Tribolium castaneum: one gene and its partners. Each later gene encodes a partner of the first gene's protein in a complex. Links are inferred from orthologs where the notes say so. Each region holds a gene or a part of one and is shown on either strand. Other genes may lie near its edges. The genes, in order: Prp38, Mfap1 and zinc finger matrin-type protein 2.

Region 1 (3,219 bases):
ACACCGTTATGTCTTCCACGGTTTGACGCTAGTGGTTTTTTATACGGACATGTGTCCTACTTGGCTGAAGACTGTCAAGCGTGTTTGCTCCTCCTGACGGTGGAAAGGGACGTATTTTTTGCCCTAAGTGAGGCGAAACAACGCATAGTGGAAAAACTGCGACGCAGCAACTGCTTAGAAGCAATCAATGAGTCGCTGAGTGCGAAAGAAGAAACTTGCATTGTTGCGGGTTTCCCCGAACTTAGGCACTATTTGTACAAATGCAAAAGTACAGCACAGTTCTACCAACCAAGCTTGACCCCACCGTACACCAAATATAACGAGAGACTAACAAAGTTGTACAAACGGGCGCATAACTTGTTGCATTGCTCGACGAGGCCGCTAAAGTTGTTATTTGAGAAAAACTCAGACGAGGCGATTTTGGCGTGGGATACGAGAGGTTTTGAGCTTTATGTAGTTTTCGAGCCCTTGATTGACACAAACAGTGCGATTAACTCAGTGGGGCGGCTGCTGAACTGGATTAAGAAAAGGGAGGAGAAGTTGTTTCATCTCAATGCGCCCACTTTTTGAGCCATTTGATTTGTATATATTATAAATATGTAAATTTTGTGGAAATCTAAGGTATAGGCTTAATCTGTGATATTCACAATCCTAAACTTGTTGATGTATTTAATTATTGATTGTATAAAACGATGTATTGAAAAATCAGTGGTGTCTGTCTCGCTCCCGTTTCCTGTCTTTATCCTTACGATCTCGCTCTTTTTCGCGGTCTTTCTCCCGGTCCTTGCGCTCCTTCTCCCTGTCTCTTCTCTCCCTATCGCGCTCCTTCTCCCGGTCGCGGTCCCTCTCCTTGTCCTTCTCCTTCTTGTGGCGTTCCTTACTCCGACTGCGATGCCTTTCTCTGGATCTGCTGCGTTCCCGCTTCCTCTCCCTTTCTTTCTTCTCTTTGGGCTTTTCTTCAACCAACTCGTACTTGTTTTCTTCCTCAAGTTCAATCTCTTCGTCCAAGTCGTCTTCAAGGGCCGAGATCTTGGCTTCGAGTTCGTTGCTTTCTTCCAAAACAATGCGTTTTTGAATGCGTGGCAAAATAACATCACAAACCTTAAAAATTAATTTTACTATCTACCGTAACAAAAAAAACACGTACTCGTTCCTCTCGTAACAATTCGTCAATAAACTCGTCCATGTGTACAATTTCAAACTGCGCTTGGCGATTTTGTCGCCGCAACTTCCTGTTGTCGTTGTACAAAGGCTCAAGATATTTGTAACAGTCTAAGGACGACCCTGTGAGTCTCATGTAGAAAGCACCGAGGGCTCTGACGTATTTAAACTCCTCGTTTTTGATGAATTCAACTACAATGTCTTTCTCTGGTTGAATTTGTAGCATTTTTAGTGTCAAACATAAAAATGGTGTTGGCTTTATATTGCCACCATAAACACCACCCACAAATCGTAATTCCATTGCCTTGTCTACTAAAAGCTCTGCAGTGAGGGCAAAACATTCCTCCTTCCAGTATTTAGAGTCATAAATTCGCGATCTGATGATCTTTTCAACCAGATACTGGGGATTTGTGCCATGGATTGATTTGGCATCTTTTACGGTCCTATTTGCCATAATTGGCCTAATTTAATTTGTAAACTCACTAACGCACCTTATGCACAACTGAATTCGACAGAAATGCACAGTTTATCAATAAATTCTAAGAAATTGTTGACGCTTGTAGTAAACACAAAGTGAGGTTAAAAATGGTTCGCTCTTATCAGACTTTTTGCTTTGCATTGTGAAAAAAATTACAGACAAATAATACTGTGTGAATAATCCAATTAGGAAATACAGGCTAAGGTTATACATTACAAAATTAAACAATAGTACACGTATGAAACAATTTAGTTCTTCAATAATAAACAAGTTTCACGTTTCCCGAATTTCTCATAAAAACTTATTTGCTAATATCGTCTAGTCCCCAGGCGTGACTCGCGGGTGGGAATCCCACAAAAAGTGCCAACCTTTGGTAACTTTGGTTATTACCACCAGACACCATTCTAATTTAAACATGAACAAACGCTCATAATTTAATAAATAGTATTTATGCAAGTAGAAAATTATTAACGCATCCAAATGAGCGTATCGATGGTATTGTTAAAGATGTAAAATTGCTTTTTGGGGGATTGGGTGATTCAAACACTTGCGATCGTTTTAAAAACTTTATTGATGACATTGAGACAGTTAGGCATTAGCTTTATTTGTCTATTTTATGTTTGTTGAGAAGTATATTATAAATTTAGTGTCTATTTACTTATTACTTAACACGTTCACCACCTCGAAGTGGAGTAAAATTGAAAATCAACTGCTGTAGAAAGTCTTGCAATGTTTGTATTGTGGAAAACAGACAATAACAGAATGAGTGAATACAATAACAATAACAGTGAAACACAGGCAGCAAACGTGTGGACTATATACATAAGTTATTTTTCGAAGAATTTTTTGTTTTTATATTTTTTTAGATTGTTTAAGCCCGATAAACATTCCAACTAACTTAAAAAGTGGGCGTGAATATTTATTTCCAATGATTTAAGTTTTTTATTTATAATATACGTTTGTAATACAATATAAAATAATGCTCCTAACACACTCGTTTTTCTCATTTTTGTTTAGGTACAAGTTTCCAGAATTGCAGTTTTCGTATATATCGTATATTAATAACAAAATAATAAATACTTATCAAATAAAATTTTAACTATTTACAATTTATCCCTTAAAAATATTAAATTCGTTAAAATATTTGCAAATTTTTGTATACATGACGAATCCAACACATCCTAAGATTTCAGTCCATTGGATCACAAAGTTTTACACTCAACTATGCTAGAATTTTGTTTCTAATCAGTCGGACATAAGCAACAAAACCAAAAGAAGCACAAGAAATACACTGAACATAAAATGTCACACGCATGTTATTGTTCCACATGAGAATGATGTTTAGATGTGGTTACATGAATCACCTAATGACCAAAATGCTGTACAAGACAGTTGGCACTATCTAAATATAACAAGATTTAGGCCGAACTTCCTAACAAGAAAAATCGGGGGGAATAATGGCATGACTGCAATATTTTCGCTCGCAGAAAAGCCGCTTCCACCCGTGATAAAATAAAACTAAACGAATTTCACTTTTGAGTATTTATTAATAACAAAATGAGAGGTCGTACAAAATAATT
Region 2 (4,257 bases), on another chromosome or scaffold:
GCTTGATTTCCTCATCACGTGTTATATTTTCGAACATTGTGGGCATTTGGAGCCGGGTCAAGTGACCGATTTGCGGTCATCCCTTGTCAACAATAACACGTTCGCAAGCCTTGTTGTCCGATGCGGGTTTCACAAGTTTTTGCTCATGATGAATTCGAATTTGCAAGGTCATATTGACAAGTTTGCCGATTACCTTGCTTCAAAAAATTACGTGATCGACGATGAAGTTCTGATTTTGTTGGAGGAGGATGAGATGAATATCGCCGAGTACGTCGATGTGCCTAAAGTTTTGGGTGATATTTTCGAAGCCCTTGCTGGCGCAATTTATCTAGATAGCAATAAGGATTTGAAGACTGTTTGGAGGGTGTTTTACAAGATTATCTGGCGCGAAATTGATCTTTTTAGCAAGAATGTGCCAAAAAATGTCATCAGGAGATTGTACGAGTGCCATACTGTTTACCCTCCGCAATTTAGGTAAGTTGTGTTGCGTTTGAGCCTTGATTTATTTTTTCTTTCACAGTAAAGCGTTGGAAGTTGGTAATCAAAAGACTATGGTTTCTTTAGACTTTATGTGTGAAGGTAGAAAGAAACGAGTTCATGGGTTTGGAACGAACAAAATCTTGGCTAAAAGGGCCGCTGCCAAAATTGCTCTTCGTGCTTTAAAGTTGTAATTAACGCACGAAGTCACAATGCGCTTATATTGATTCAGTTACTCGCTAGGATTGTTTGAAAAATGCTGTTTTCCATTGTTCAACTATATACCGTCAGTTAAATTCATTCGCTTTGATACCTATCACAAAAATGGTGAATTTAACTCACGCTGATAATTAAGTAGGAGAATTTTTAAATTACAGCCAACCTTTAATTTGTCATTAGGTGGTTCCAAAAATAATTCGTTTTCAAATTAAAACTGTTTCAAGTTAACCACTCAACCGCATTTTAAAACTGACTGGTTAACATAAAACTGTTTAATTTAAAAACTGTTGCGAACTTTAGTCTATACTTTATGATGATGTTAATTTACTTTGTATATTGCTTGAAGCTTGTATGAAAGTGTGATTTCCCTATTACATTGTTCTTTAATTGATGAATAAAAATATATATTTTTTGCATCTAAGTCTAGTGGTTATTACACCTTACTACTGCGTTTTCCTTTTTTTCAACGAGGGTTTTTCAAAGACTTGCTTGACGCCCCCTGCTTGTGTCGAGTGAAATTTGAGATTTTGCGAGGTTTCACTTGACCAAGGTGAATCGAAATGAGTTGTGTCTTGATCCACCAAATGTGTGTACTTCGTTCGTCCAGACCGTCCGAAATTTTTGACTTGCATAACTTTCGGCAAAATAGTTTTATCGAAGTGATCTTCCAGAGTTGCTTGTGCGAAATCTCTCTTGAAAACCTCGTCCTCCTTATCAAGATAGAACGCACCACGGTGGTAATATTTCTGCAAGAATTTGTACTTCCCCTTGATGGCTTTGTTTGTGACTTGTTTGGGGTTTAGTCTCAGCTCAAGCCTTCTCTCTTCTTCCGTCATGTTCCTCAATCGTTCGACTTCAAGTCGCTCTTTTTCAATAGCTTCGCGTTCTTCGCGATCTCTTTTGATTCGCTTCAACTCCCTTAGTTTCCAAGCTTCGTATTCAATTTCGTCGTTTTCATCGTCTGTGCAAACGTCGTTAAGGTTGGGTTCGTTATTTTCTTTATCTTTCTGTTGCTGTTCCTTCCTGATTGTTTCCTCAACAAGACGTAGCGTTTGTCGCCGCCTTTCTTCCGCATTTCTCACAGCTTCCAATTCTTGCTGCTTCTGCTTCTGTACCTCCTTTTCTTTTTCTATGATCGTGATCCTGTCTTTCTTTCTTACAAAAATCGGTTTTAATCTGGGGCCAGTCTCCTCCTCCGAATCTGTGTACTCTTCATACTCTGACGATTCTTCCGACGACTCCGACTTTTCTTCTTCTTTCACCATAAACTCCTCTTCCTGCTTTTCCATCATGCGTTTTTTCATCATTTCTCTGCGTTTCTCGATTTCGCTATCGCTAAGCTCCACTTCGGACTCATCATCGTCAGGAGCCGCCTCCAGTGTGTGTTTATGTTCGGGTAAATTAATTTGTTCCTTTTCGGATTCTTCATCAGACGATTCCAACACTTCTGGCTCCACAACGTGACGGCGGCGTTCTGGCCTCACTTCAGTTTCAACTTCTGCGATTTTCAGACGACGCAAACGGGGGTCATTCAGTTCGTCATCGCTGCGTGAAGGCTCCGGCGTTGGGGGCTGTTGGGGCTGATTGCGACGCTCCAGGAAATCGTCGTCGTCGCTGTCGCTGCTCGAACGCGCGTCTTGGGCATAATCGGGCTTCTTTCCAGACACGTAGCGGTGCACCTTCACCTTTTGCATCGAAATTTCGCCTGGAAATAGGCGGAAACGGCTCAGAAGGCATTTTTATTTGTTACAATTTTTTTATTAATTTTTGACAATGAGGTTATAGCCGTCATAGGTAAGAAAGATATTTTACCTTTTTCGTTGCGAACGGGAACCGCACCCGCAGTACTCTGGATGCCATAATAGGGCTGGGGGTTCATCATTGTGAAAATCGACTATTGAAAGTCGTTTTTAATTCTAAAATAAACGAAAATTGTTTTTGTGCCACAACTTTACATTTGACAGTTGACAACACAGGTTGACAAGTGACAAGCATAGAATTGAAAAATAATCAATGAATTATAAAAATAAAATCAACCGGTTCGAGAATTTTTTTGATAAATGAACCAAAAAAAAATTTTGTTCGTAACTGATTTAAACTCAGCGCAGAGACTTGATTGCAAACATAAATAAATAAGGTGTAATTTTGGTTGTATAATAATCAAACCAATATATTTTTTATAATAATCGCAATAATTAATACAGAATCTATGGATTTTGCAACTTAGAATTTTATTATATTGTATTATCTATTGGTTTTTATATGTTAAAACTATATCGTGTTTCTTTCTAAATGATACGTGTAGAAAATGTGTTCCTTTTATCAAACAAATTACAAAAAATTGTGACTTTTATTGTTTAAATTGGTAATAAAGAGTAAACGTTTTTTTTTGTTTATACGTTTCATTCGAAAGTTATTTGGATTGTTTAAACCTGTGGGTAAAAAAAGTCGAGGGCCACCAACGTAAGAAACCGAAATGCAAATTAGCTGTTGCCGTTGGGTTGGCAATACCACCTGTTGATGCTGAATCAAGTTAAATCTACGAAACGCAAGCGTGGAAGAAGACGCGGCGAAGCTGTGTTATTATAATTTTTACGCGATTGTGCCAAAATATTCCAACATTATGAACAAATAGAGTGGTTGCGGGTGTATTTTCTGTGTTGTGTGCATTTTATGAGTTACAATAATTGGATTACAAACGGCAACACAACTTGTACCAAGTGGTAAGTGTGATGGAAAGAACCGTCTTTGAAACCGTATTTTCGGTTATAAACCATCCACCGGTAACCAGCGTCTGGTTTACCGTTTTGGTAAAGCATTTTCGAGTTGGCTGGTCTTGGCTGGCCTCGATGGCAGCGAGTTGAAGCGAGTGTCCATTTGAAAAACCGCTGAAAAATCGAATAAATGGGCTATAATTTGCGTAATTGAAGCCAATGCCGGGATTGTTATTGTCAAGTGCGGATAAAAACAGCAAAATAGGCGCGGCAAATTCTTGTTTCTTGTATGTCAGCACGATCAAGAAGTCTGTGTGGAGTCTGACGTTTAGGCAGGGCATGCTGCGATGCTATTATGCAAAGTATACCAAGAATCACTGTCTATGGGGCTACCAAAGTGTTATTTATCTTTCGGCCTGCAGACGATGACGTCGAGATGGATGTGATGGGAATGGGTCAACGACACCCGGAATGCCCCCCTTTTCTTTCCCGGAGTTTTCCGGCGATTTTTTCGGGTCCGGAGACGACGTGTCAAAGGTCTACCGGTTATTAGAGACGCGGATGGAATTCATTTAAATGTATTATCGGAGATCGCTCAGAATCAGGTTTTCTGCTGGTGTTTGCTGAGCGATATCTGGGTCATTAATTGTATTTATTTGCCAATTTATAAAAACAAAACAAGGAGGACACTACAGGGAATCAACTGGGTTTTATTACTCGTTAACTGACACCGCTATGCAAAAATTGTGAAAACGCAGTTGACGTCATTTCCCATAAACTCGAAGGTGAAGTAGTTTTACTAACATTTCACAAATAATTGAATCGCATTTTACCAGATGTGTGTAAG
Region 3 (3,012 bases), on another chromosome or scaffold:
TTTCATTGGTTTATTTGTAAGTGGTCGATATGGAATTTAGTAAAATTCATTTTTACAAAAAATAAAGATATTTTCACACCACACGCCACTGCGTTTTAACGCGATTACATCGAAAAGTTCGTTACGAACTTTGAAAAAATCGCCAAATTAGCCAAAAATATTGTTTTTACTTTTTTCAAGCCTTCAACAAGTTTTGGAGCTAAAAAGTTGAAAATATGCAATCAAGTTTGGTGCAACGGCAACTTAATAAAATATAATTAACATTTGAATTTAATAGTACTTACATGTTACCTTTGAGTGTTACGAAACTTATTTAACATCATGGGCTTCTTTGATCAAATATTTAATTGTTTTCAGGGCTTACAAAGACATAGCTGACTGTTATTACATCAAAACTGCGAAAGTGTGTGGAAACAGCGCTGCAGCAACAACTAAAGAACTTCTACAGTCGATAATTGACAGTATTCTCACAATAAGCTGTGACAATGTGAAGGAGACGCCCAAAGTCAAGGACCCAATGCCTGAGGAATATATGAAAAAAGAAAATAAGGCAACTTGTTCCTTCACATTTATTTCATTTACAATTATTTTTTACAGGCTGACACAATGATTCTTCCAACTGTACTTCACTTACTAGTTAGCATAATATTGATTTTTATTTAAACTTCAACAAATCTAAATTATTGTAATAAAGGTATTGAAAGACATTTTGCTACTTTTTTTTAGACGATCCAAAACCTGCAAATCCCATAATGCTAGCAAGCTCACTTGCTTGTTCAGATGTTTCTTCCAACATTTCCTCAGCTTTTCGCTTCTCTTTCCTTTTCTCCCTCCTGTATTCGCGTAGCTTTTCCTCTTCTTCGGCAATTTCCTGCATGCGAGCTGCCATATCGTAATCTTTTTTCTTCTCCTCCATTTTCCGCTTGTTTTGGTCAAACCTTCGTTTAACTGCGTCCAGACTGCTGCGTTCGATCCGCATCGACATTCCCAAGTTTCGTTGATGCTTTTTGCCATTGATGTGATCCAAAAAGTTGATTGAATCTTTAACAACACAGTCGCAGACGTTGCAGTAGTAGCCCCCCGATTGTGATGTTGGTGTGTTTTTGTTTATTACAATGCTTTTGCCAAGCTTTGAATCCAGGTCTACTTTATACTCTCGGGTTTTTAGCATTTCACGTTTCACCGGGGGGCCTTTCTTTTTCTTGGTTTCTTCTTCGAGGCGCTCGATTTCTTCCCTCTTGCGCTCCTCGGCTAACCTCTCGTATTCGTCCCTGTCCCATTTTCGGCGGTGGTCGTCTGGTCGCATAGTCATTTCTGATGATTTTTCTTTAGCAGGATCACAATCAATTAATAAAAACTCAAGTACAATAACAGTGTTGACAAACTGCAGTACACATTGACAGCTGTCAAATTTTCAAGGTTAGGTTATGTTGCTAACTTCATAAGAATAAAGGTTCATTTTCTAATAAATTGCGAATTTGCGCCATTCAGGATGTTTATATATATCATTAGATTATTACAATTGAATTCATTAAACTCATAGAATACTTAATAGATTTTTTAATTTTTTGGTTATTCGACTCTGCTATTACATCTAACGAAGTTAGCTGGGTTACCTGTTTAAAAATTTAAGATGGGAAAAGATCAAAAAAATCCCGTAATCAAGACAATTAGTTATTTATTTCAATTTTTTTATTAATTTTTAAAATCTAATTCACAGAATCTTTCGTTTGCAATTTTTCAGTCTGTGGCTGTTCAAACTACCACTACGTTATGAGTTAGTTATAAGTTATAAATACCAAAGAAAAAGTGGATAACTCAAAAAATTTAAATTTTTAACAAATTATTATTTTGGGTAGGCAACACAATATTCAAATGGCAGCCTACGCAACTAATTATACAGAGTGTTCCAAGTTTTATGGTCGAAGCAAAAATTAATATTCTAGTCGAGTACAAATAAATTAAATTAATTTAAATTACAAAAAATCAAATTGAATTTAATTCAAAATTAAACTAATTCAAATTAAGTAGCATTAAATACATTGACAAATGTCGAGTTAACCGCGATTAAAATTTAATTGCAATTAAAATGTTTTGTAAACCGGCGCTCTTAGTCTAGACAATTAATTACGCTACCATTTGATATTTTGAATGTGGTCAAGTATTAATTGCTGTGAAACATTATAAACCAATTTTTTAAAATAAAGTTCAAGGTGTATTTTCTATTATATGATAAAATTCTTTCAATATTTAAAACCGTAACTGCTAACATAGAATTATACGATTGTTGCCAACTTTTGAGTAATATTATTATTATTACATTATCAGAAAATTCTGATGTGGGCTCTATTCCACAAACGACTTTTACACTTTGCGCTTGCACGTTCCCGAACACCTTTATGTTCCACCAACAACAGTATTTTGCACACTTAGCAAAAAATATACTTAGCAAAAATACTTCTTTTTACAAAAATATGCCAAAACAAATGCAAAGATTGGTGGAAGACATTAACTTTAAAATTTGCAATTTATGCAAAATGCAAAGTTGCAAAAAATTTTAGTGGAACAAGGTGATATTTAGTGATTAAGGTGATATTAAAAAAAATATCAATTTTAAAAAGCCGATTATGGCGAAACTATAAAGATTGTAATCAAAATCTATTTGATACAATATTACATGCAGCGTTGAGCAAAAGTATTAAATCAAGCGTTTTGTGCGTAAACTATGTACCTTACAAAAAATACTAATTAGTACATCATTAACTACTTTAAAAATGTAACGATTTAAAAAAAAAATTTTGTTCGAAATAATTTTTCAAAATTTCAAAAGTTAAGTAAACCTTACATTATTCAGTTAAACGAAATAAAAGGTAGGGCAAAAGTGATGTCGCATATTTGCGGTCACATATTTTATGTACTCAACGTCAGCATCAGTAGCGCGCAATAGTTAATAATTTATTTGTCCGTGTAGGTTAGAGAACATACGTTTTTTAAAACTGATTCTTATGCAAA

The links.
Region 2: the proteins of Prp38 (region 1) and Mfap1 are in contact, whole or in part, in a crystal structure (PDB 5F5S), measured with the Homo sapiens proteins. The link is inferred for Tribolium castaneum from reciprocal best matches to the Homo sapiens genes PRPF38A and MFAP1. Residues at the interface, in NP_116253.2 of Homo sapiens: Tyr124, Asn125, Tyr127, Lys129, His143, Asp145, Glu146, Asp149, His153, Tyr169, Val170, Glu172; in NP_005917.2 of Homo sapiens: Glu275, Tyr276, Trp279, Arg282, Glu283, Arg286, Arg289, Asp290, Arg294, Leu297, Glu298, Lys301.
Region 3: Prp38 (region 1) and zinc finger matrin-type protein 2 share a complex: the UniProt entries of both Homo sapiens proteins name them as parts of the spliceosome B complex. The link is inferred for Tribolium castaneum from reciprocal best matches to the Homo sapiens genes PRPF38A and ZMAT2.

Annotation. Positions count from the first base shown.
Region 1 is NC_087396.1:19,988,055-19,991,273, forward strand, and holds Prp38 (pre-mRNA-splicing factor 38), read right to left. Parts: upstream 1,782-3,219; 5' UTR 1,616-1,781; coding exon 1,148-1,615; intron 1,102-1,147; coding exon 706-1,101; 3' UTR 653-705; downstream 1-652. Other genes in the region: vacuolar fusion protein MON1 homolog, read left to right, coding at 1-570. UniProt on the Homo sapiens protein: Involved in pre-mRNA splicing as a component of the spliceosome.
Region 2 is NC_087397.1:4,122,239-4,126,495, reverse strand, and holds Mfap1 (microfibrillar-associated protein 1), read right to left. Parts: upstream 2,698-4,257; 5' UTR 2,579-2,697; coding exon 2,509-2,578; intron 2,402-2,508; coding exon 1,140-2,401; 3' UTR 672-1,139; downstream 1-671. Other genes in the region: Dcr-2 (Dicer-2), read left to right, coding at 1-474, 521-671. UniProt on the Homo sapiens protein: Involved in pre-mRNA splicing as a component of the spliceosome.
Region 3 is NC_087395.1:20,716,781-20,719,792, reverse strand, and holds zinc finger matrin-type protein 2, read right to left. Parts: upstream 1,430-3,012; 5' UTR 1,313-1,429; coding exon 713-1,312; 3' UTR 664-712; coding exon of another isoform or gene 598-663; 3' UTR 556-597; downstream 1-555. Other genes in the region: uncharacterized protein LOC656218, read left to right, coding at 358-550, 598-663. UniProt on the Homo sapiens protein: Involved in pre-mRNA splicing as a component of the spliceosome.